2 linked regions of the Drosophila melanogaster genome follow. The protein of the gene in region 1 interacts with the protein of each later gene in a pairwise test. Each region holds a gene or a part of one and is shown on either strand. Other genes may lie near its edges. The genes, in order: CG34396 and AOX3.

What was found.
Region 2: the proteins of CG34396 (region 1) and AOX3 interact in a two-hybrid assay, tested with the Drosophila melanogaster proteins (one large-scale study listed by BioGRID).

The regions. Positions count from the first base shown.
Region 1 is NT_033778.4:21,093,593-21,103,780, forward strand, and holds CG34396 (uncharacterized protein), read left to right. Parts: upstream 1-4,165; 5' UTR 4,166-4,519; coding exon 4,520-6,252; intron 6,253-6,315; coding exon 6,316-6,473; intron 6,474-6,622; coding exon 6,623-7,659; 3' UTR 7,660-7,861; downstream 7,862-10,188. Other genes in the region: Gar1 ribonucleoprotein, read right to left, coding at 2,535-2,677, 2,735-3,115, 3,450-3,639; ktub (king tubby), read left to right, coding at 8,984-9,025.
Region 2 is NT_033777.3:15,539,370-15,551,458, forward strand, and holds AOX3 (aldehyde oxidase 3), read right to left. Parts: upstream 8,820-12,089; 5' UTR 8,601-8,819; intron 8,548-8,600; 5' UTR 8,156-8,547; intron 8,090-8,155; 5' UTR 8,026-8,089; coding exon 7,986-8,025; intron 7,515-7,985; coding exon 7,360-7,514; intron 7,301-7,359; coding exon 6,566-7,300; intron 6,509-6,565; coding exon 6,275-6,508; intron 6,220-6,274; coding exon 5,128-6,219; intron 5,069-5,127; coding exon 4,360-5,068; intron 4,301-4,359; coding exon 3,501-4,300; 3' UTR 3,379-3,500; downstream 1-3,378. Other genes in the region: AOX2 (aldehyde oxidase 2), read right to left, coding at 1-706, 770-1,214, 1,281-1,514, 1,946-2,680, 2,808-3,020; AOX4 (aldehyde oxidase 4), read right to left, coding at 9,259-10,058, 10,119-10,827, 10,884-11,975, 12,036-12,089.

The sequences.
Region 1 (10,188 bases):
GTTCGTCATGCAAATCAGGAAAAGCTGGTGGTGCAGGATCAGCAAAAGAGTTTCTTCAATGAAATGCGTCAGGTTTCCGGCGATCTGAGCGGGGTAAGTCCTAATAGGAATTAATACTAATGCCAAGCTAATTAATCATTTTGTGTTAATCAATCATTTTCAGTTGAGCAAACTTGAATTCGAGGGTCAGGTGCTGCGCATCATGAACACCTATCCAACGGTGGTGCAATCACTATTGCGATCCGGAATGGTAGACAATACGGATCCGTGGTCCTTCTGGGATGCCATGGTCTATTCCGCTACGATTTACACGACCATAGGTGAGTAGAGCTAGAAGATTCCTTCTCGATTGCTGGTGCAAAGACTCCCACGCAGATAAGATATAGTATATATATGTATATGCACACATATCAGTTCTTAGGACGCAAGTCGGTCTATTTATGTATGTTGTGCTTTCTTCATTATTAAGCCAACGAAATTTTTGTGACACAAAAGATGGAAATAGTTTCTGATATTTTTGCGTTCGTCGGCATTTGTGAGATAAAAAATGCGTGTCTCTTCGCGTGCAGACAGTTATGAGATTTCTCAAGAGGATTCCAAATTCCTTGGAATACTGTCACTTTTCGCAATTGAGACTTGTAAACTCACGAAAGAATTTCCTCGAATTAACACTCTACACACATTCTCGATTAAATTGGTTATTCATTTCACTTTTAATTACAAAAGACTTTTCACGACCATAAACATGCCATGAAAATGGAAATCATTACGACCGAACAAATCGTTTGTGGTGCATCATTTAATCATAATTTAAATGATTGTTATTTTTTAAGAATTTATGTTTCACATTCGTGATGCGGTTAGTTAATGGCTTGATAGCCTCCTTATTATTCGATTGTCTACCTTTTTGGATTTGTTCTAAAATTAATGTTTGGCACGTCGACTTGTTAAACTTTCGGTAAGACAAATGGAAATATGGCGAGCGTATTTCTGGTAAATAAATTCTGGCCATTCGTCGCCACTTTTGACAAGTTTTTCCCAACGGCCAAAAAGTGGGAAATTCGAATAAATCTGCGAGTGTGGAAAACTTTGCACCCACATCAACGCAAAAGCAATTAACACAAATTGCCAAATTATTGCCACAATGCGACGACACAATTTGCTGCCTTGTAAACAGGATGGCAAATTGTGCTGAGTGCTGAGTGCATTCGGTATAATCAACTTGTCAAAATTGGCACAGATATGTATAAACAAAACGTAGAACCTCAATGGGATTTTTTTTTATGATCTAGCGCACTTAATTTGAAATCGAGAGTCTGCCTTGGAGGTCTGCGGTGACTCACCTGAGTATTTAAATTTAAGCTCACTATATTTAGTGTGCAGCTAATTTAAGCAAAAGATGACACAAAAATATTACACAATTCACCATAAAATATTTACTTGAGTGACTTGTAAGATATAAACATATAATGTATCTTGTTTATTACTGGTTTCTATTGATTTATCAGATCGATAAACCGGAAAACACTTCATAATCATCATGCGAAATCATAAAACTGTTGCTGCTGCGATTAAAATAACGCTTACTGAAATCATTCTATGGCCGACAATTCTATAAAATGGTGCATGCCCAAATGGAAAACAAATCGCGAAGGCAATTCGGAAATGTTGAATGAAATTGCCTAGAAATAAACAAATACGAAATCACAGCGAAATTCCATAAAAGCGAATACGATCCGTCATCAACGTTTCAGGGGAGAGGATCGATCACAAAGGGGCTACGGAAAGTATCTGATGAAAATTATACAAGAAATTTTAATTTATTTGTATTTTGAAAGTGCAGAAATACTTTGAGCCCACAATGACGTCAGTGGGCATAAAGATAATATATGAGAAGGCAAAAAGAAATCATTTTCGATTTTTGGCACATATAATTACACAAAAGTTTCTTCGTTCTTCGAGAAGAGAACAGCTGCAAATTTAACAAATTATATGCATGAATCGAACGGCAATTGGAAAGCGGAAGGAAACCCCCATACCGAATAGTATTGGGCATTTTAAACAAACCTCGAAGAATTCATAAAATTTCAAGGGAATTCGGATGAGTGCGATTCTCTCATAAAGTCGATACATTATTGATCCCCAAATTCTAGACGATGATAGTTGTGCAACCACTTCATATAAATCATTAAGGTGCTCTAATCAAATGTATTATTTTCACACAAAACCATTTTTCGTTATAAACCACTATCTTCTCAATAAGTGAGCAAATGTTTGACATTCTATTGTTAATTAACTGTCTTCATAAATGATAAAATATCACTTAAACTTCAATTAACTATATGTTTTCAGTTATATCATGTTTGTAAATTTGTAGGAAATTTATTTTAGTATCATTTATGGTACAATATTCGATTGATTGGTCAGCGAACAATACCCAAATGATGAGGTTTTGCTTAGAAACTATTTGGACATGTACAACAATTGGATTGTACACTTCTTTAAATGTTTTGATTAGGATCTGATACTGAAAACTACCACCGACCCCGACCACCGCCGCCGCCGCCACCGCCTCCTCGTCCTCTGTTAAAACCGCCGCCGCCGCCACCTCCTCCATTGCGACCAGCACCTCCTCGGAATCCGCCTCCACCTCGTCCGCCGCCACCACCGCGACCACCTGTTGATAAACACAAGTTAGGACTTTGGGGTGCACTCATGAAATTCACTATCTTACCTCCTCCGCGGCCGCCACCTCGGCCTCCAAATCCACCGCCACCGCCGCCTCCACCTCGGTTATTTGTGAAGGCTTTCTTGGCGCCTTTTGGTTGTGGAGGTTTCGGCAGAAATCTGGCGATGGGTAACAGCTTTCCAGGGTCGATAAACAGTTTCTGATTTGGCTTGAAGCTGTTGGCGTAGACGTTGTCCGACAGCTTGATGGACACGCTGTAGTCCCGAACTGTTCCAAAGATTTCGTCGATTTTGCCTACTTGCTCCTTGTTTTCAAGGAAAATGGGCGCGTTGAAGTAGGGAACATCCTGAATATCAACTTTGCACACAAGGTCGTTTTGGCAGGAGTAAACATAGTTGCCCAAGGGGATGACTCTCTCTGGTGGACCTACAATTAAAAAAATAAGATATATTATTAAAGTGACAAAATGGAAATGAGTATTTGGCAATTTGCCTGAACATAGCAAGCATTTAAGACAGCGTATACCTATAGGAGACTTCCAGATGTGTTTTTAGCTAATATATTTATATATATAGCCCATGATTATAGCCTACAACGGCTTGGCTATTCAAAATTTGAGAGAACAACGTGGTTATTGTAATTCTATTCGCACAATCTGTATTAACTGCTTGTTTTAAGTGACGTAGTTAGCCTTAGTTCACAGGCTAGCTTAGTTTGGATGATTAGTTATAGGAATAGTTGGCGACTTTCATTCACTTACCAGTGTCGAAGGCTCCACGGCCGCCACCACGTCCACCTCCACCTCGACCGAATCCGCCGCCACCTCCGCGTCCTCCGCCACCTCCTCGTCCACCTCCACCTCCACCAAATCCTCGTCCTCCTCCGCCTCCGCCTCCACCGAAGCCTCTTCCGCCGCCGCCACCGCCGCCACGAGGTTTACCAAATCCCATTTTCAAATATTATTAAAATTGAACGCAAAAACACGTGCGCGTTCCGATCAACCAAAATATTTAGAGACGGAAGAAATTCAAATTTCGTTATCGACTTATCGATAGCCACGGCCATGTGTTTCAGTATATACGGTTGTATATTATACGGTCACACTAGGCACAAGGGGCGGATTTTTTGAAACTTCTATTTCAATAAAATTATTTAAAACTATTTTTAACAATCGACCTGATTATTAATTTCTTAGTCTTTTTTTTTAAAAACAGTTATTTTTTTATGCATATGAATAGTTTTAATGAAGATCGTTTAACTAAGACAAATTCCTGGTGCTTTTTTTATAAGCATTAAATATTCACTAAGAGAACATAAAACATTGAGTAAGAGAGAATCATCAAAAACATCATCGGATGCATTATAGATATATATATATATAGATATCTATAGCCGAACAGCTGTTGAGACATCTACCAAAAATATAGACAAGCAAAGTGAAAATGAATATTTGAATTTTCTCCAACTGCTGAGAGCAGTTGGATGCCAGCCGTGGACGAGGAAGCGAGAAATAGAAGCTAAATCTATTCGATCGTGTCGCGACGTCGAAAGAAGCAGATACATAAAATTCTATATGCAAATAGATAATATAGCAAAATAATTTCAAAAATTTTCGGACAAGTGCAGACTTTAAAAGTTTCAGAAAGTGCACAATACATACATATAATACGAAATTGCAATCGAAAGTGATATAATTACCCGAGGCATATTTTCATATGTGGAATATGAACGCCTCGTTGGGCAGTTAAAAATAGATTAATAGATGGCTAAATGACGAGCACGAGCACAAAGATAGATCGCGAAAGTAGCACACGACTGCGGCTGGACAAGATGGAGCAGCCGATGGACGCCAGGCAGCAGCAGCGCCATCGAAGGCGCCTGGGTCGCAGCCACCGGGAACCGACGCCCGTCACTGGAGACGCCCTGCCCCAGGACGATGCCAGTCCGGATGCCCTCCCTGATCCATCACCTCAGATGGTGCGCATGCAGATCAGGCCACCCGGCTCGATGTCCGCCCACGAGAGCAAGATCCTGCGAAAGCGGGACAAGTCCTTCGCCAGCTCCTCGGCGCGTAGTCAATCGCAGCCACGGGAGGCTGAGAAGCTGAGTAGTCCGGATGCCAATCATCTGATCAAGCATCGCAGCCTCTCCTCGCCGCGGCACAAGGAGGAGTCCAGCGAGAGTGAGCTGACCACCGGCAGCAGTAGTCAGCAGCAAAGGCCCATTCCTAATCTTGGCCAGACACAGGATACGCTAAGCAGATTGGAGCAGAATCTGCAGCGCTTCGAGGACGAACGACGGCGTTTCGAGGCCGAGAAGAGGCTCTTTGAGCGCGAGAAGCGGGAGCACAAGATGCGCCATCGCCAGCAGCTGGACAACGAGGAGCGCAAGCGCCTCCTGCAGAGCTACCGCAAGCTCAGCGATCGCATCCAGCTGCCGCAGGACGAGGAGGAACGGCGCCGCCTCATCCACAGCCTGCGTCTGCAGCGACACGAGGCGCCCAAGACTCGGGGTCGCAATCGAAGTAGCGGCTACGATGAGTCCTCCACCCAGTTCAGCTCCTCCGATGCCGATGCGACGGAGGAGACTCACCCGCGGCCCCGAGCACCTAAGATTCCCCAGGGCTTTGTGGCAGCCCCAATCCGCGGCGCACCTCCACCGCCGCCATCGGCGTCGACAGCTCCAAAACCACCGGAAAGGCTGTCTGTGAGTCGCAACAACTCCCTGTCGCCCGTGAGACCACAGCGACGATCCAAGACTCCGGAGCAACGGGAGGAGATCCTCCGGAAGCACGAGTACTTGGAGGTGGGCGAGTCCAGAGACGAGGTGATAAAGCCCCGCATCTCGGAGGCAGAACAGCAGTCGGAGCTGATGCAAAAGTACATGGAGGCCGCTGAGCGGGCGGCAAAAGCGGAGGCCGCCCTGGCGGAGCAAATCCTGACGGCGGAGGGAGTGCGTCGCAGTCACAGCTTGAGATTAGCGGATAAGGAAGAGAAGCCTCAAAAGCGCAGCTCCAGTTTGGAGCGTCCACTAAGACCCAAGCGATCGGGCAGTTTGGAAAGAAAGGAACAGGTAACTCAAGAGCTCCTTGAGGGAACTACTACAAATGAAGCTGATACGGAACCAAAATCTCTTGGGGATCAACCCTTGTTGCCAGAGGAATCCATCTCAGAGGCGAAACCCAAAGTTACCTTATGGCAGCGGCTGAAAAATCTGTTTAGGCGAAAGAAGAAGATTCAGGCAAAGGGCGAAGATGTCACAGATCTGTCCACAGAATTGCCACTGGAGAAGTTGGCCTCCAGGGGTCTGCTGTACAGTTTCAGCCTAGAAGCCCGGCATGAATGGAAACGCCTCAAGCTGGACTATCCCCAAAAGGTGAAGGAACTGCGTCAGCTACGCAACAGGTGCATTGCCTATCTCATCTGCATGGCTATGCTTCTGGGATTCGGAGGACTCCTGTTCCGGTACACGGAAGGAGCAGCGGAGAATATATACAAGTGCGAGGTGCGCAAGGTGAAGCGGGATTTCATAGACCGACTGTGGGACGTCAGCCACAACATGAGGTAGTACCAATGGTGCCAAGTGGTAGCCCAGTTCTGTGAGTGATTCATTTGTATCTTTGCCAGAGAGGAGGACTGGAAGTCTCTTGCCCGCCAGAAGCTGCGCAGCTTCGAGGATGAACTAAATAATTTAGCCGAGTTGGGACTACGCCGCTATCCGGGCCAAAAGTCCTGGAACTTTGTCAATTGCTTCATCTTCTGTTGGACCGTGATCACAACTATAGGTAATGGGTTACAATGGACCCATAACCATCCAAAACTCCTAAATCCTTTCGTTAGTTCTTATATATGAGCATATTTCCATTTTAGGTTCTTTTTTTAGTTAGTCATATTTAACTTATTAACTCCCATGCCTTCTTCTCTTCCTTTCCAGGTTACGGCCACATCACTCCAAAGACGGGCATGGGTCGATCCCTGACCATCGTCTATGCCATCATCGGCATCCCCATGTTCCTGATCGTGCTGGCCGATCTGGGCAAGTTATTCACGCGCTGCGTCAAGTTCCTGTGGGTGTATGTGCGACGGATGTACTACACGCGCTCCTGCCGCCGGATACGAAAGCAGCAGCAGATCCGGAGCGCCATGACAGGCTTCAATACGATGTACGACATGGCCATCCGCAGGCCGAGCATGTTCTTCAGCAACTCTGCGCCAGAGAACGATGAGGAGTCGCAGGCGGATGCCGAGGCCGCAAGATCGGTGGGCACCTCGCACCCGGAGACACCCACATCACCCTATCCAGAGACCTTCGAGGTGGACGACGAGTTCAATTTGCCAGTGTCGGTGGCCTCGCTGCTGCTCATTACGTACATCCTCCTAGGATCCTTCGGCTTTCTAATGATGGAGCCCAGCTGGACTCCACTGGATGCCTTCTACTACGTGTTCATCTCGATGTCCACAATTGGGTTCGGCGACCTGGTGCCCAGTAATCCCTTCTACGTAATGGTCAGCATGATCTATCTGATGTTCGGCTTGGCCCTGACCTCCATGTTCATCAATGTGGTGCAGATCAAGCTGAGCGATCACTTCAAAATGGCCAGCGCCAAAGTGGGCGCCACCATTGGCATGAACATGACCAGCGAGCTTGGTGATGAGGGCGGCTCCCAGGTGAAGACTCCCTCCGAGCTTGCCTCGGTGCACGGTTCGCGACTGGACAGGATCGAGGAGGATGGCCAGGAGGCGAATGGCAATGGCCACTCCCCGGTGCCACCACTCACCTCGATCCTGCGCGCACCGCGTCCTCTATCGCCGGCGTCCAATGGAGTGGATGCTAATGGAGTTGGAGCCGATGCTGTTGGAGCTGGGGATGTTACTCCGCCACCTCTGCTGCCCAGGCGTCAGGTTTCCGTGGATCCCCAGCCGCCGGCGGAGGGGGAGAACAAGAAGAAGAAAAAGCACAGGTTTTTCTAGAATCCCTGGGATCTTCCGCCTCCAAACAAAAAAAAAACCGACAAAGTTAACGTGTAAGAAACCTCAAAAATGACAAGGCAATTTCAATCGAATTTACCGTAACGCGAAACTCTATATTCATTTATTTGTTATTTAATTTTACTCACCATCATCGTAGCATAAGTCTAATGTTAATGAAATAAAGCGCGCGAGTTGACAACGCAAATTGATGTTTTTAATTGTTGTAAATTCCGCTTAAGGATCATAATCATAAAGTTGTATAATTTTTCAACACTCTATTATCCTGTTATCAGCGTGGTTTTTTGCTCAATCCGGAATCGAATTGCCAGATGCGTATGCTTTGTACGGGAATGCATCCCAAAATCCCAGTAACAGGGAGTCGGGGGCGCGAATCCAAATGCAGTCGCAGTCGGCAGCTGCACATCTGTCGCTCGTAGGAAATGGAAGAGGAAGCAGCCACAGGAGGCGTTGTGCGGAGAGAGAGAGAGAGAGGGAGAGAGGGAGAGACCCATTCCCATTGAGAGCGAGTTGTGGTTCTCTCTGCCTCTCTTTCGCTGACACACGACAGGATGGCATGCTTCGCACTCCTGCTTCGGCTGGCATTCGTGTGCATGTTCCGTTTCCATTCCGTTCCGCTACGAGCACTTCGCCTGAGTTGACGGCTTCTGTTGGACGCCCAGTTGTTGTTTTGGCAGCGTGCGGTTCGGTCGACGGGTTACATCGCCTTCTCTCCTCTACCAAAATAAAGAGGCGCCAAATTCAATCAATTGGACAATATCACACGCAACTCAACGGGCACGAAAGTGTTTGTCAAACAACATAGATTGTATAACATTATAAATATATGCATATTCAGGCGGTACTCGCTCAGTGGCTAAAGCAAACATTCAGTGCCAGCGATCCGGAGAATTCCGATCGATCGCGTCGGTACAAAAAAAATTGAGCGAGAACAGGAAGAGCCGGCTGTTGGCTTCAGTCTACAAATCCTCACCCTCGTGAACACCCCTTGATTTTTTTGTTGTCGCGTGTGCTGCCGTACTACACTACCACAAACTACAAAATATATACCATACCATACAAACTGACGCCAGGTGTGCTAAATTCATAGATTCTTCTTCAATTATTTTGGTGCCCCATCGGTTTTTGTTTTGCTGCATTCATTCGCATTCGAAAAGTCGCTCTTCAACGCAAATCCCAAAACAGCTGTCACTCCCGAATATTTGCCAAATGCCTCTTCATCGGATCATCTGAATCGCGCGTAGTTAAGTGAAAATCGTCAGAGGATTTTGATTGCCTTCTGAAATCTACAGCCATAACTGCAAAAATGTCCGGAATCAACAGTCGTAATCAGAAAATGGAACAGCAGGTAAACCCAACACTCCAATTTGGCAGATCTTTTCTAGATTTTACCAAACCTATAATCTTTGATAATGTAATCTCTGAAATTTGAATTTCTTTAAATGTGTCATTCATATCCATTGTGTTTGATAATCTTCATAAAGTGGACACATTAAACCAACGATCCTATATTATAACAAAACCAATCTATACATACGACAGCGAAATTTATGAACAATTTAATGGCTACTTGTATTAAACTTTTGCTTTAGCTAAGAATTCTTTAAGAACTTTTTTTCAATTGACCATGAATCAAGGCAAGTTAGCACTGGCCTTTTAACTCTTCCAGCCCGACGGTTCGTGAATGTGGTCTAGAAACAAGAAAATCCACTCCTTTCTTGGAAAACTCGGGCAGCCCATAGCAATCAGCGCCAGCAGAAAAGGGGCCATCAGCCGGCATTACACGGAATTGTTCACTTTTTGGCCTCAAAGTTGACCGCTCTAAATGTGCCACCCCTTAAAGGCAACAAAAAAAAAAGGAAAATGAAACACCCAAGTGGCTTAACGCCTTCTCCAAGTGGTTTTGTTGTGCCCGTTTGCTCGTGGCCAGGTGTTCGTCCGTTGTCCTGGCAACGGCGTCCAAATAAATCGAAACGAAGCTCCTGGTGGTGGTGCAGTTGCTGCAGTCCGATTCGATTGTCATTGGCCCTAATTATGTTGAGTGGCACGGAACCAAAAGGCACCCTACTCCACCCACTGGCTCATAAATCGAATCACTTCGATGTGGTTGAGTTGGGCTGCCAAGTGTGGGAGGTCCTGGGTCCTTCGAGTTACTTCGATTTCGTGCCGCTATGGCTTATAAAACATTGAGCAGCTATTGACAGCTTCTTCGAATGGGAGGACATTTTGAAAACATTATGCCAAGTCATTTCAGCTACAAATGAAATAGCTTGAAAGAAATCGAAAATAAGTGGAAGCCATGGGAGCGCATTTCATTTTGATTGAATTTTAATTTTAATTATAAATTCACATTGAATCATCTCACAAATTCCCATGAATTAACACATTTCGTGATTACCATTTTAAAGCAGCTTGTTTGAATAATGTTTGCTTTATCACATTCATTTTCAAATGCGAGTATAAATATGATAAATATTCACTTGCTGAGTCAAGCTAATTTTCTTTGAACGT
Region 2 (12,089 bases), on another chromosome or scaffold:
GCAACTATATTGCCTCTAGTGACCTTTGCACCATACGCTCCACCCACTCGTCTAACTTGGAGCTGAATGGAGTTCACACTAACTTTCAACATGTGGGCAATCGCTCCTTGGGTGGCGTCCATCCATTGGGTGGCGCAGTATACCTGCAGAATGTTATCAAGCGGCACCACGATGGTTGTTTGTGGTTCCATAGTGAAGTGGTATTGGGACGCAAGCTCCAGGATCCCTCTGCCAAGAACATCGCCAGGTGCGAGAGGAGGCAGCTTTAGGGGTTCCACGGTATCCTTCTTCGTGCTCACAATCCGATCGGTTTGCTTTTCCGCTAACACTTGGTTCATGGTCGTGAAGATCTTTCGCTGATCCCGGGCATATGTGACCACAACCAATGTGGCAGCATAGACAGCCGCATCATGGGTGAGAGCTGCGATGACTCCCAACGGTTGATCAAAGTATTTGACTCGCCCGGCAACAAAGACCTCGTCCACTTCAGGTGTAAGCTGATTCACCAGAACGAAGTTGTTGGAGCCTGGGATATCTTCGGCCGAATAGAAGGCCACCACTCCCTTGCACTGAAGGGCAGCAGAAGGATCGATCTGCTCAATGGTGGCACCCACTCTCTTCGCAGTTACAAACGCACAATGGACGGCATTTGAGGTTGTCAGTAGATCGTTCATATACGTGGCCTCGCCAGAGCACTGAATGAGACCTGGAAATCCAAATCGATAATAATAATACCACGTATGGAAAAGGGTTTTCTTAAACGATGTACCTTCTAGTTTTTGAACTGGTTGCGTGACGGGATAGTTTTTTTTAATCGTCTCAAAGGATTGGCTTCCCGAGGAAAGTGGTCTCTCCAGTAGCAAGCCTCCAGTCCGAAAACGCTCCCGAACTCGCTCCTTGGGTGCGGTGGCCAGCAGAAACTTGTAAAGCAAGGAGCAGGCTAGCATTTGGCGATATTCCGGGGAGGCCTCCGGAGGACGCTCCTCGGGTTGCAAGCTAGCTGGGAGTTCCTGAAAGATCTGCGCAACTGTGGCGGGATCGTACAGATCCCTGCCAGGAAGCAGTTGCTCCACTTGGTCATCGTGTATGTAATCTGGTCGAATGTTGCCGAAACATATGCGTGCGGAGTGGACAATCCTGTGCTGAATGTCCTGCCATTCAATGAGGAAGCCTGCATTCACATAAGCATGAACATTCTGCGCTCTGGGCAAGATCTATTGTTTGGAGAGGAGATTGATTCAGTTAACTAAATTCATATTTTTAGGAATAAGTTCATCCACCTTATAAGATCTAAACAGGAATCTGTCCTTTGGATAGGCTTTTAGGATAAAACCACCCAGCACCAGTTTGGAGGTTGTATCACCGAGATACGTCAGCAGGTTCATCACCCTTTGGGTACTGGGATTGTCGTAGACGAGGACGTGGACATCCAGAGCCTCAAATGTGATGAACACATCGGAGGGAAATTCAAAATGTTGCTTCTTGATGTTTATGTTGCCCGCCAGTGTGCCATTCTGTGAAAATTTAATTATAAATTATTTAAGTAATAATATTTTACAATTTGTTTCATTTTTCATTTCTAAATTTTTTTTTCAGTGTCTGCAGCGACTTGAATTGATTTACTATCTTTGTTGTGAAAGTAAAATGGGTTTTTAAGCTAAAATGTTCTCTGTGCTAAGAGTTGATTGCTTTTGTTAGAAAACTGGACAGTAACTCAAGGCAATGCCTGTGATTTAAGAAGTAAATTAACTTTGCTATATAAACGAACAATACTTCAATGGTGGAATAATAAATCGAAAATTCACTGGCCTTGAAATAAGTTTTTAAATAAGCGTTTCACGGGAGAAAGAGCATTCAATTGTCAAAAACTACTATTATTTTCGCTAATCTTCGTCTTCGCCAAGCGCCGAAACGGGTTTCTGGTTTTATGGAGCACTCTACTCACATTTCGCACCGGCACATTGGCAATCAGGTTGAAGTGCTGCCATAACTGGGCACAATACTCGAATCCGGGCCTCTTGGCAGCCAGCAGGAAAACTTGCATGGCATCCGTGAGAGTGACATTACCGCCCAGCAGCAGGTGATCCGTCTCAATGCTGTACTGCCTCAGCTCCGGCACCATATTCACGTCAATGAAGTGTCGGATGTCCCTGGGTCGCCGGTAAACTCCATGGGCGGTGTTCCCGGCCACCAGCATGTAGAGTTCTCCGTTCGCCACCTGACTAAGGGCTCCGAAGAGCTCCGTTAGAGTCTTTGGCCAGTACCACTGACTATCCCCATGATCCCTCAACGGAGGTCTCGAGCAGCTGCCCTTGCAGGATTGTCCAGTTCGCGGGCAGAGCAGCTCGAAGGAGTCCTCGATGTCCACACTTTCCGCCGGAACCTCAACGTTGCTATCAACCGCGAAGGACTTCATGGCATCCAGAATGGGTCGATAGCCGGTGCAGCGACAGAGGTTTCCACCGAAAGCGTCCTCCACCTGCGACATGCTCACCTGCCCGCGATGTTGCTCCAGCAATCCGTACATGTTCATCACGAATCCTGGCGAGCAGTAGCCACATTGGGTGCCATTCATCTGAGCCACGCGCTTTTGAATGGGATGGTAGCCACTCAGTTGGTTGCCCAGTCCCTCGTCCGTCATGATCTCCGCATCGTCACAGGTGTTCAGAAGCGTCAGGCACTGTGGAATGGGCAGAAATAACCCATAGTTTAATTATATTTTAATTCTAGTAATTACAAATTTAACTTTTTATTGCTCGCTGTATTCAGGTGTGGAGAAAGCCACTCCCCGAAAAGTGACTTCTTACCGAGTTGGCTGCCCTGGACTGAACCTCCTGGGTGACCGGGTGGCGCCTGCGGATGACGCAGACGCACGAGCCACAGCCGCCCTCCAGGCACATGTACTTGGTGGCCGTCAGGTGCAGGTGCTCCCGCAGGAAGGTGTTGAGGGTGGTGTCCGGTGGATAGTCAGCCGCCTGCACCTCGTACGGAAAGCCATTCACATTGAACTTGATGCTCATCGCTGCACAGTCGTCGGTCGAATGGAGCTCTTTTGGTCATTCGTTTCTATTTCAAAGCGCTGCTGAAACCTGATTTCCCGTTAATTAGGCTAAACGGGTTGGAGCAGATTAAAGTGCCATCTAAAGCATACACTGAGCGAAACCGTGCACTCTGCGAAACTTACTAAGTTTTTGCTGATGCTTTGCACTTAATTGACAGATTTATAATAGAAATTCCGCTAAACACTATTTTATGGTTTTTAAAGTGATAACTTCCAGAATTATCGTTTTGTCATAAAACACAATATGAATGAGTCAAAAATTTGAAAGAGCTGTTAATGTCACGTACGAATGATAATCCCACCAAGATATTTAACTTGATTATAACAATGCAACCAAATGCATTTCAATATAAAAACTTTAATAATATTTCAAATATATGTATAAAGAAAGAACCATATGTATATGTAAATGGGACAGAAGCCGATCAAAACCACATATTTACTTAAGCCTAAAACTGGCTGCTTCATGTCCTGCATTGACCACCAGAGTTTCCGGAGTTGTGGGTGCACCCAGACGCACCCACTCCCGCGGTAGTCCTGCATCATGGCGGGCTGAATCCAGGGCCTGTCGCAGGGCGAAAACCACACTCACAGCCAAACAACAGGGTGGTTCTCCAGTGGCCTTCGACCGCATGAAGCCCGCCCCAGAGGGATTGGGTTTCTGAATCAGCTCAATGCGAAAATCAATGGGAATGTCCTTGGCACCCGGCGGCTTGTAGTTCCAGGTGCGGTTGGTGAGGAGGCGACCTGTTTCCCGGTCGTACACCAGCTGCTCACTCATCCAGTAGCCCAGGCACATGACAAAGGCACCCTCAATCTGACCGATGTCTATCCAGGGACTCAGGCTCTCTCCGGCATCCTCCAGTATATCCACGCGCTTGATCTGACTGTTTCCAGTTAGCACATCCAACTCTACTTCGGTTAGGGCCAGACCGTAGATATGATAGTTTTGCATATCGCCCTTCTTGTAGTGATCAGAGGCAATCAGGTTGATCGATTTGCCATAGGCAGCTTCAACTGTCTCAATCCAACTGGCATCCTTCTTCTTCACCGGCTCCAAGCGACTGTTCAAGGTCTCACAGGCCTTCCGAACTGCATAGCAGAGACTTTCGCTGCCCACAGCTCCTCCGGTGACCATCGAATTGGCTCCATTGATGGTGTCGGAGGACTCCACCTTGATGAAGCTCAAATCGATGCCAAGGGTGTAGGCAGCCACTTGAGCCACCTTAGTGTTCATACCTATAGGAAAATCAATATGTTATCAATGAAATAGTATCTTAAGTGGGCTGTTTACTTACCCTGTCCCATTTCAATGCCTCCATGGGTAACCACAACAGTGCCATCCACATGATAGATGGCAACTGTAGCCGGGTACTGGCCAAAATAGAAAATGGGGTAGTCCATTACCGCCAATCCGAGACCTCGTTTCGTCCAACGATTCTTGGCATTATGGGACTCAATTTCTTTTTTCCTCTGGGCATATTCCCTAGACTCAAGGAACTGGGGAAGCAACTCGGATATCTTATTACCCGCCGCAATGTTTGCAAGACGAACTTCAGCCGGATCTTTCTGAACTTCGAAGGCAACGTGCTCGATGATGTTCTCAATCATGGCAATACCCTCCACCGATCCCGGAGCACGACACCAAGTGGAACTGGGCGCATCTGTTAGCACCGCATTTCCGTTGTTTTTAAAGTTATCTCCGTTCAAATCATAACAATTGACGGCCGTGAAGGTCGAATGACCCTCAATGGGACTTTCATTCGGACTCCAGCCAGCGTCCTCATAAAAATCATTCGTCAAGCCCACAATCTTGCCATTATCCTTAATGTGACACTTGTAGTCGGAGCGACAAGCCCACCGCTTGCCATTGCAATCCATCATGGACTCCAGGGATTGGACAAAGCGAACGGGACGATTTAGCTTGTAAGCAACCAATGAAGCTGCACAGGCCACCTGGTTACCTCGGGTGATCTTTGATCCATAGCCACCTCCCAATCTACGAACCTGAATATAATAGATTTGGAATTAGATTCAGGAGATGATAATTCAGATATTACACATACCTGTAGTTGAACATCCTTGGCCTTCACCTGCAGCATATGGGCAATTACAGACTGGGTTTGATCCATCCACTGAGTGGCCGAAAAGATCTTGAGACCATCCTCAAAGGGAATGGCCACAGTTGTCTGGGGCTCCATGGTAAAGTGATACTGCAGACCCATCTGGAAGATGCCCCTCACTTCCTTGTCCGGCTGTTCCGAGAACTTGATCTTCTTGGATGTCGATTTCGATGCTGGCACTATGCGAGAGGAATCCGGAGTTGGAGATGCGAATACATCTCCTAAGCTCGGCTGCAGCTTGAAGTCGGAACTGGGATTGCTGTAGCTGATCCTGACCAGCTTCGCGGCTCTGTGTGCCTGGTCAGCAGTTAAAGCAACGATTACACCAGCTGGCTGCTCTGAGTGGCGCACCAATCCCGAGCAGAAGATCTCCTCCACCTCGAAACCAAAACTGGGCTCACAGAAAGTGTTAGTGCCGGGAATGTCTTTGGCACTGTAAAAGGCGATCACTCCAGGTTGCTTGAGGGCTTCGGAGGCGTCGATAGAATCAATGGTGGAGCCCACTTTGGTGGCGCCCACGAAGGCGCAGTGCAGCGTATTAGAAGTGGTCAAGACATCGTTCATGTAGGTGGCCTCTCCAGAGCACTGTATCATGCCCTCGACTTTTTCCACCGCTTGGGTGACGGGATAGTTCTTCTTCTGGGTCTGAAAAACTTGCAATCCAGAGGAGAGAGGCCGCTGCAGGATCTGCCCTCCGCTTCGGAATTTTTCGCCAACCTCAGCTACGGGTGCGTGCTTCAGAAGGAACTTGTAGAATAGTCCGCATGCCAACTTGGAACGGTAAGCGGGACTGGCATCCGGCAGCACTTCATCAGGCTTAATCAGATCTTCCAGTTTTGTGAATGTCTGCTCCACCAGACTTGATTCGTAGGGATTCTGTCCCACCAGCAGTTTCTCAATAGCTGAGGCATGGATAAAATCTGGACGGATTCCACCGAAGCAAATTCGAGCAGATTTCACCTTGTTGTCGGCTTCCAATTCTAGGAGAAAAGCGGCGTTGACATAAGCATGGGCATTTTGGGCACGAGGCATGATCTGCGGAGGTTTAAGTATAAGAAAATATATTCCAAAGTTAGCTTAAGTTGTATACCTTATAGGACTCATAAATGTATTTGTCCTTCGGGTAGGCAGGAAGAACAAAAGTTTTGAGCACCAGCTTTTTATCATTTGTGCCCAGATATTCTGCAAGGGACATTTCCTTTTCATCAGCAGCGTTTTTCAAAGCTACCACTTTAACATTCAGGGCCTCAAAGGATATGAAAATATCCGAAGGAAACTCGGGATTTTGTTTTTTGATCGAAATATTGCCAGCCAAAGTTCCAGACTGTAACGATACGAAAATAAATGTATAACTCAAACTAATCAAAACAAATCTACTTACGTTTCGCACTGGAACATTGGCAATCAAATCAATGTGGTTCCACAGAACGTCCAAGTACTCAAATCCTGGCTGCTTTGAAGTAGTACGAATGATTTCCATGGTCTGGGTGAGACTGAGATTAGCTCCTAGCTTCAATTGCTGTCCCTCAGAGCTGTGCTGATGCAGTTCCTCCACTCCCTGGACGTCGATGAAGTGCTTGATATCCGTCGACCTTCGGTAGACCCCATGAGCCGTGTTGCCAGCCACCAACATGAACTCCTCCGAGTCCTTCACCTTGTCTAGGGCGTCGAACAGTTCGCTTAGACTCTTGGGCCAGTGCCACTGAACACCATCTTCGTAGACCAAAGTGGACGGAAGGCAGCTACCACTGCAGGCTTGTCCGGTCTTTGGGCAGTTCCGGGGTTTTAGATCCTCAATGTCCCCGCACTCGGCGGGAATCGCAATGTTACTGTCCACCGCAAAGGACTTCATGGCATCCAGAATTGGACGATATCCAGTGCAACGGCAGATATTCCCACCAAAGGAGTTCTCCACCTCCGCCATGGTGACCTTGCCTTCGTTCTGCTCCATCAACCCATACATGTTCATCACGAATCCCGGCGAGCAAAAGCCGCACTGGGTGCCATTCATTTTGGCCAGACGCTTCTGGATGGGATTGTAGCCGGTGCGCTGATTGCCCAATCCCTCGGCGGTCACGATCTCCAGCTGGGCGCAGGTATTCAGCAGAGTGAGGCACTAAAGAGAGGTAATTCATTAGAGATCGATCGGGTTAGTTGCACGGAATATGCTCCAACCGAATTGACAGCCCAGCTGCGCTTTCCATCGCGCACCACGCAGATGCAGGCGCCACATCCTCCCTCCTGGCACATGAATTTGGTGGCCGTGAGTTGGGCATGCTCGCGGATAAAGGTGTTCAGAGTGATATCCGGCGGAAGGTTAGTTAGATTCACTGAGGAGTACAACGAGTGATGGAGCGGAGATGAAGCGCATATAGTAGTATGGGTATAATTAATTACAAAAACCTGAATGTGAGCTTGTGAAAAAACATCGAACAATGGGCCTCAAATTTGCACACTAATTTGTTTACCAGCTGCGTGTTCATATGTGTATACATATGTAATTTCAATTAATGTTATTCGAGTTCCACAGCCACTTGATTTTGAGATCTGGCGAATTTAATGATACACCTGCTTTAAAGCTAGAGGCGTTGCAACGTTCAGAAGTAAACACTCTCATTAGAGAAAATTCTAGTATTTAGGGTATCTACAATGTGTACATATATGTAACTTTATAGCTAACTGATAAGTTACGAGAACCAAGCACTTGATGGTGAAGTATTGCCGTGAACTGATTTTCTGGCCCATAGTCGATAATCACCATGATACATACATATGTAGCTACATATGTATGTATAACTCACCTGCATAGGGCAGCCCATTGATTGAGAATTTCGTAGTCATTCTGATAGTTTTCCAGCAAAAAACGGCGTAGCAAAAACTAAAATGTCAGCTGCTGAAGTGTTTTCTATAAATAATTCAATTAGTTGCGACTTGGCCAGTGGCTTTCCATTATTTTCCATTTGCTGCTCACTTTTTGCTCCGGTCGCTGCGAGTGTTGCTGTTCGACTGACTGATCAAAACATTGGGGCTCGAGTAGAGGTTCCTCCGTTTTTAGATTGCGATTTTCTCGAATGCCGTAAACAAAAAAAAAAAAGTTAGTTTCGACACACTCCGTGAGAGCCAACAACGATTTGAGCAGCCTGTCGAGCTCGACGATCGACGTTAATTGCAAATTGTGGACTGGTTGCTCCTCGCCTCGACTCGAAGTCTCTATGCGCAAAAAATCAAAAAAAAAACTGGTGCCGCCGAATTTTGCTTGTTGCTTTGCCACCCAATTCGTCGGCAAATTTTCGATGTTTGTAAAAATAGCTGTGCAAAGGGGGCATAGAATCGGCAGATGTACACTTTAGATACCCTTCCGCGCTATGAAACTTCCAAATGTAATAGTTAAAAAGTATTAATATATTGTATCTCACCAATTAAATGCAATTGATAGGGTATGCAGTAGCTGCCAATGAAATGAACAGAAATATTGCTGAGTCACATAATTACTCTATCAACAGAGAAAGCCTCTGTTTAACTAAGATTGCATTTTAATTTTATATGCCTATGATTTGATTAGATACATATGAATTAAATATTTTCAAGGTATTGTATGTATAATAATGACTATTCCAAATGGGCAGACTCGCAAATATGCTTTTAATTCGTGACGAGCGTGATACGAACTATAAAAAAACCGGCAAAGCGAATCACGTGTACACTAAAAATAAAAGAGAGTGCCGCGATAAATGTAAAGAGAACGATTTAGCCGGCCGGCGAAAAAACATACAGTTTTTCTCTCTGTTCGGAATTTGGAGCTTTCAAAACAAATAAATCATTTTGAAAGCTCCGGATGAAAAAAAAACTAGAATATCAAGCTTTGGATGACATAATACATTGAGAAAAACGATTAGTTAAGCAAAATGAATAAATATGAATAAAAAATGGAATGCAAGTTATGTTAAAATTAATTAATTGCATATGTAGATAGATTTTTAATTGGCGTAAAATGTATATTTTTGGATTATAATATTGACGATACTTTTTGCATTTAAAATATGTTTATCCGCTCTTCGATATATTTAATTGACATTATTTCAACTTGAACTCCGAGACTTGGTGTCCGGCATTTAGTAGCAGAGTCTCTGGAGTTGTGGGTGCCCCCAAGCGAAGCCACTCCCGAGGAAGTCCTGCATCCTGGCGCGCTGATTGCAGAGCCTGTTGAAGTGCAAAAATCACACTAACAGCCAAACAGCAAGGAGGCTCTCCGGTGGCCTTTGAGCCCATGAAACCCGAACTACTCGGTCGTGGATTGTGGACCAGTTCCACGCGGAAATCAATGGGAATGTCCTTCGCACCCAACGGCTTGTAGTTCCATGTGCGGTTAGTCAGCAGGCGACCATTGTCGCCCTCGTAGATGAGCAGTTCGCTGAGCCAGTAGCCCAGGCCCATGACGAAGGCGCCCTCCACCTGACCGACATCTATCCAGGGACTCAGGCTCTCACCGGCGTCCTCTAGGATGTCCACCCGCCTGATCAGAATGTTGCCGGTCAGCACATCGATCTCCACCTCGGAAAGGGCAAGTCCCAGCACATGGTAGTTCTGCATGTCGCCGGTCTTGTAGTGATCCGAGGCTATCAGATTGATCAACTGGGCATTGGCCGCTTCCACAGTCTCCACCCAAGTGGCCTTGGCCTTCCTCACTGGCTTCAATCGGGCATTGAGCGTCTCGCAGATCTTACGGACTGCGTAGCAGACACTCTCGCTTCCGATGGCATAGCCAGTGACCATTGAATTGGCTCCATTGATGCTAGTTGAGGACTCCACTTTCACGTAGCTCAAATCGATTCCCAGGGTATAGGCCGCCACTTGAGCTATCTTTGTATTCATACCTATAAAGCATAAAGGAGGTAATCACTACAAATCCTATAAAAGTCTGCTCCCTTACTTACCCTGACCCATTTCTATGCCCCCATGGGTAACCACAACAGTGCCATCTACATGGTAAATAGTCACCGTTGCCGGAAACTGCCCAATGTAGATAATGGGGAAGTTCATCAAGGAGAGACCCAAGCCTCTTTTTTTCCATCGATTGTTGGCATTGAATGCCTCGATCTCCTTCTTCCGGGAGTAGTACTCCCTAGTCTTGAGGAACTCTGGAAAGACGGTTGCCATCTTACTCTTCTTACTAATGTTTGCTAGTCGCACTTCGGCTGGGTCTTTCTGGATTTCGAATGCCACGTGCTCGATGATGTTCTCCATCATAGCAATGCCCTCCACTGATCCAGGAGCACGGCACCAAGTGGAACTTGGGGCATCCGTAAGAACAGCATGACCACTCAGCTTGAAGTTGCTATCGGTGAATTCATAGCAGTTGGCTGCTGTGAAAGTGGAGTGTCCTTGCACAGGACTCTCGTTCGTGTTCCAGCCAGCGTCCTCGTAAAAATCGTTGGACAGCCCGACGATCCTGCCACTGGTCTTCACGTGACACTGATATTCGGAACGACAGGCCCACCTCTTTCCATTGCAATCCATCATGGACTCCAGGGATTGGACAAAGCGAACGGGACGATTCAGCTTATGGGCAGCCAAGGCGGCTGCACAGGCAACCTGGTTACCTCTGGATATTTTGCAGCCATATCCACCACCCAATCTGCGAACCTGCAACGAAAGTACTCAAATAATAAGACAAAAATTTATTTAAGTATTTGTCTTACCTCTAGTTGCACATCTTTGGCTTTCATCTGCAGGGTATGAGCAATCACTGATTGAGTCTGATCAATCCATTGGGTAGCCGAGAAGACCTTTAGTCCATCTTCAAAGGGAATAATAATAGTGGTCTGCGGTTCCATGGTGAAGTGATACTGCAGTCCCATCTCGAATATGCCCCTCACTTCCAAATCAGGTTTGTCAGAAAACTTTACTTCCTTAAGCTTTGATATAACCAAGGGTATAATGCGAGAAGTATCTGGAGTTTCGGAGGAGAACACATCCTTCAAACTCGGCATCAGCTTGAAGTTGGAACTGGGGCTGCTATAGCTGATCTTGACAAGCTTTGTTGCCCTTTGGGCTTGGTCAGCAGTAAGAGCCACGATTACACCCACTGGTTGTTCCGAGTGGCGCACCATTCCAGAGCAGAAAATCTCCTCCGCTTCGTAACCAAAACTGGGCTCACAGAAAGTATTCGTTCCGGGAATGTCCTTCGCAGTGTAAAAGGCCACCACTCCTGGATGTTGGAGAGCTTCCGTAGCATCGATTTGATCAATGGTGGCTCCCACCTTTGTGGCGCCCACAAAGGCGCAGTAAACGGAGTTGGAAGTGGTCAGCACATCGTTCATATATGTGGCCTCTCCGGAGCACTGAATCATGCCCTCCAGCTTCTGCACGCCCTGTGTCACGGGGTAGGTCTGTTTATTGGTCTGGAAGAGCTGCAAGCCGGAGGAGAGTGGCCGCTGGAGCAGCTCACCGCCGCTCTTGAACTTTCCGCTGACCTCCGCATCGGGGGCGTGTTTCAAGAGGAACTTGTAGAGCAGTCCGCAGGCCAATTTGGAACGGTAGGCGGGACTGGCATCGGGTAGAACCTCATCCGGCTTGACCAGACTCTCCAGCTTGTTGAATGTTTGTTCCACCAAATTTGATTCGTAGGGACTGTGACCCACCATTAACTGTTCAATATCTGTGGCATGAATGAAATCCGGTCGAATTCCACCAAAGCAAATACGGGCAGATTTCACCATTGAGTTGCCATCCAATTCCAGAAGAAATCCTGCATTAACATAAGCATGAGCATTTTGCGCTCTTGGCATGATCTACCGATATATGAATAATTTTACAAATTTTAGATATTAAGATTTTCCGAACAATATTACCTTGAAGGAGTCGTAAATATACATATCCTTGGGGTATCTAGGGAGAATGAAGGC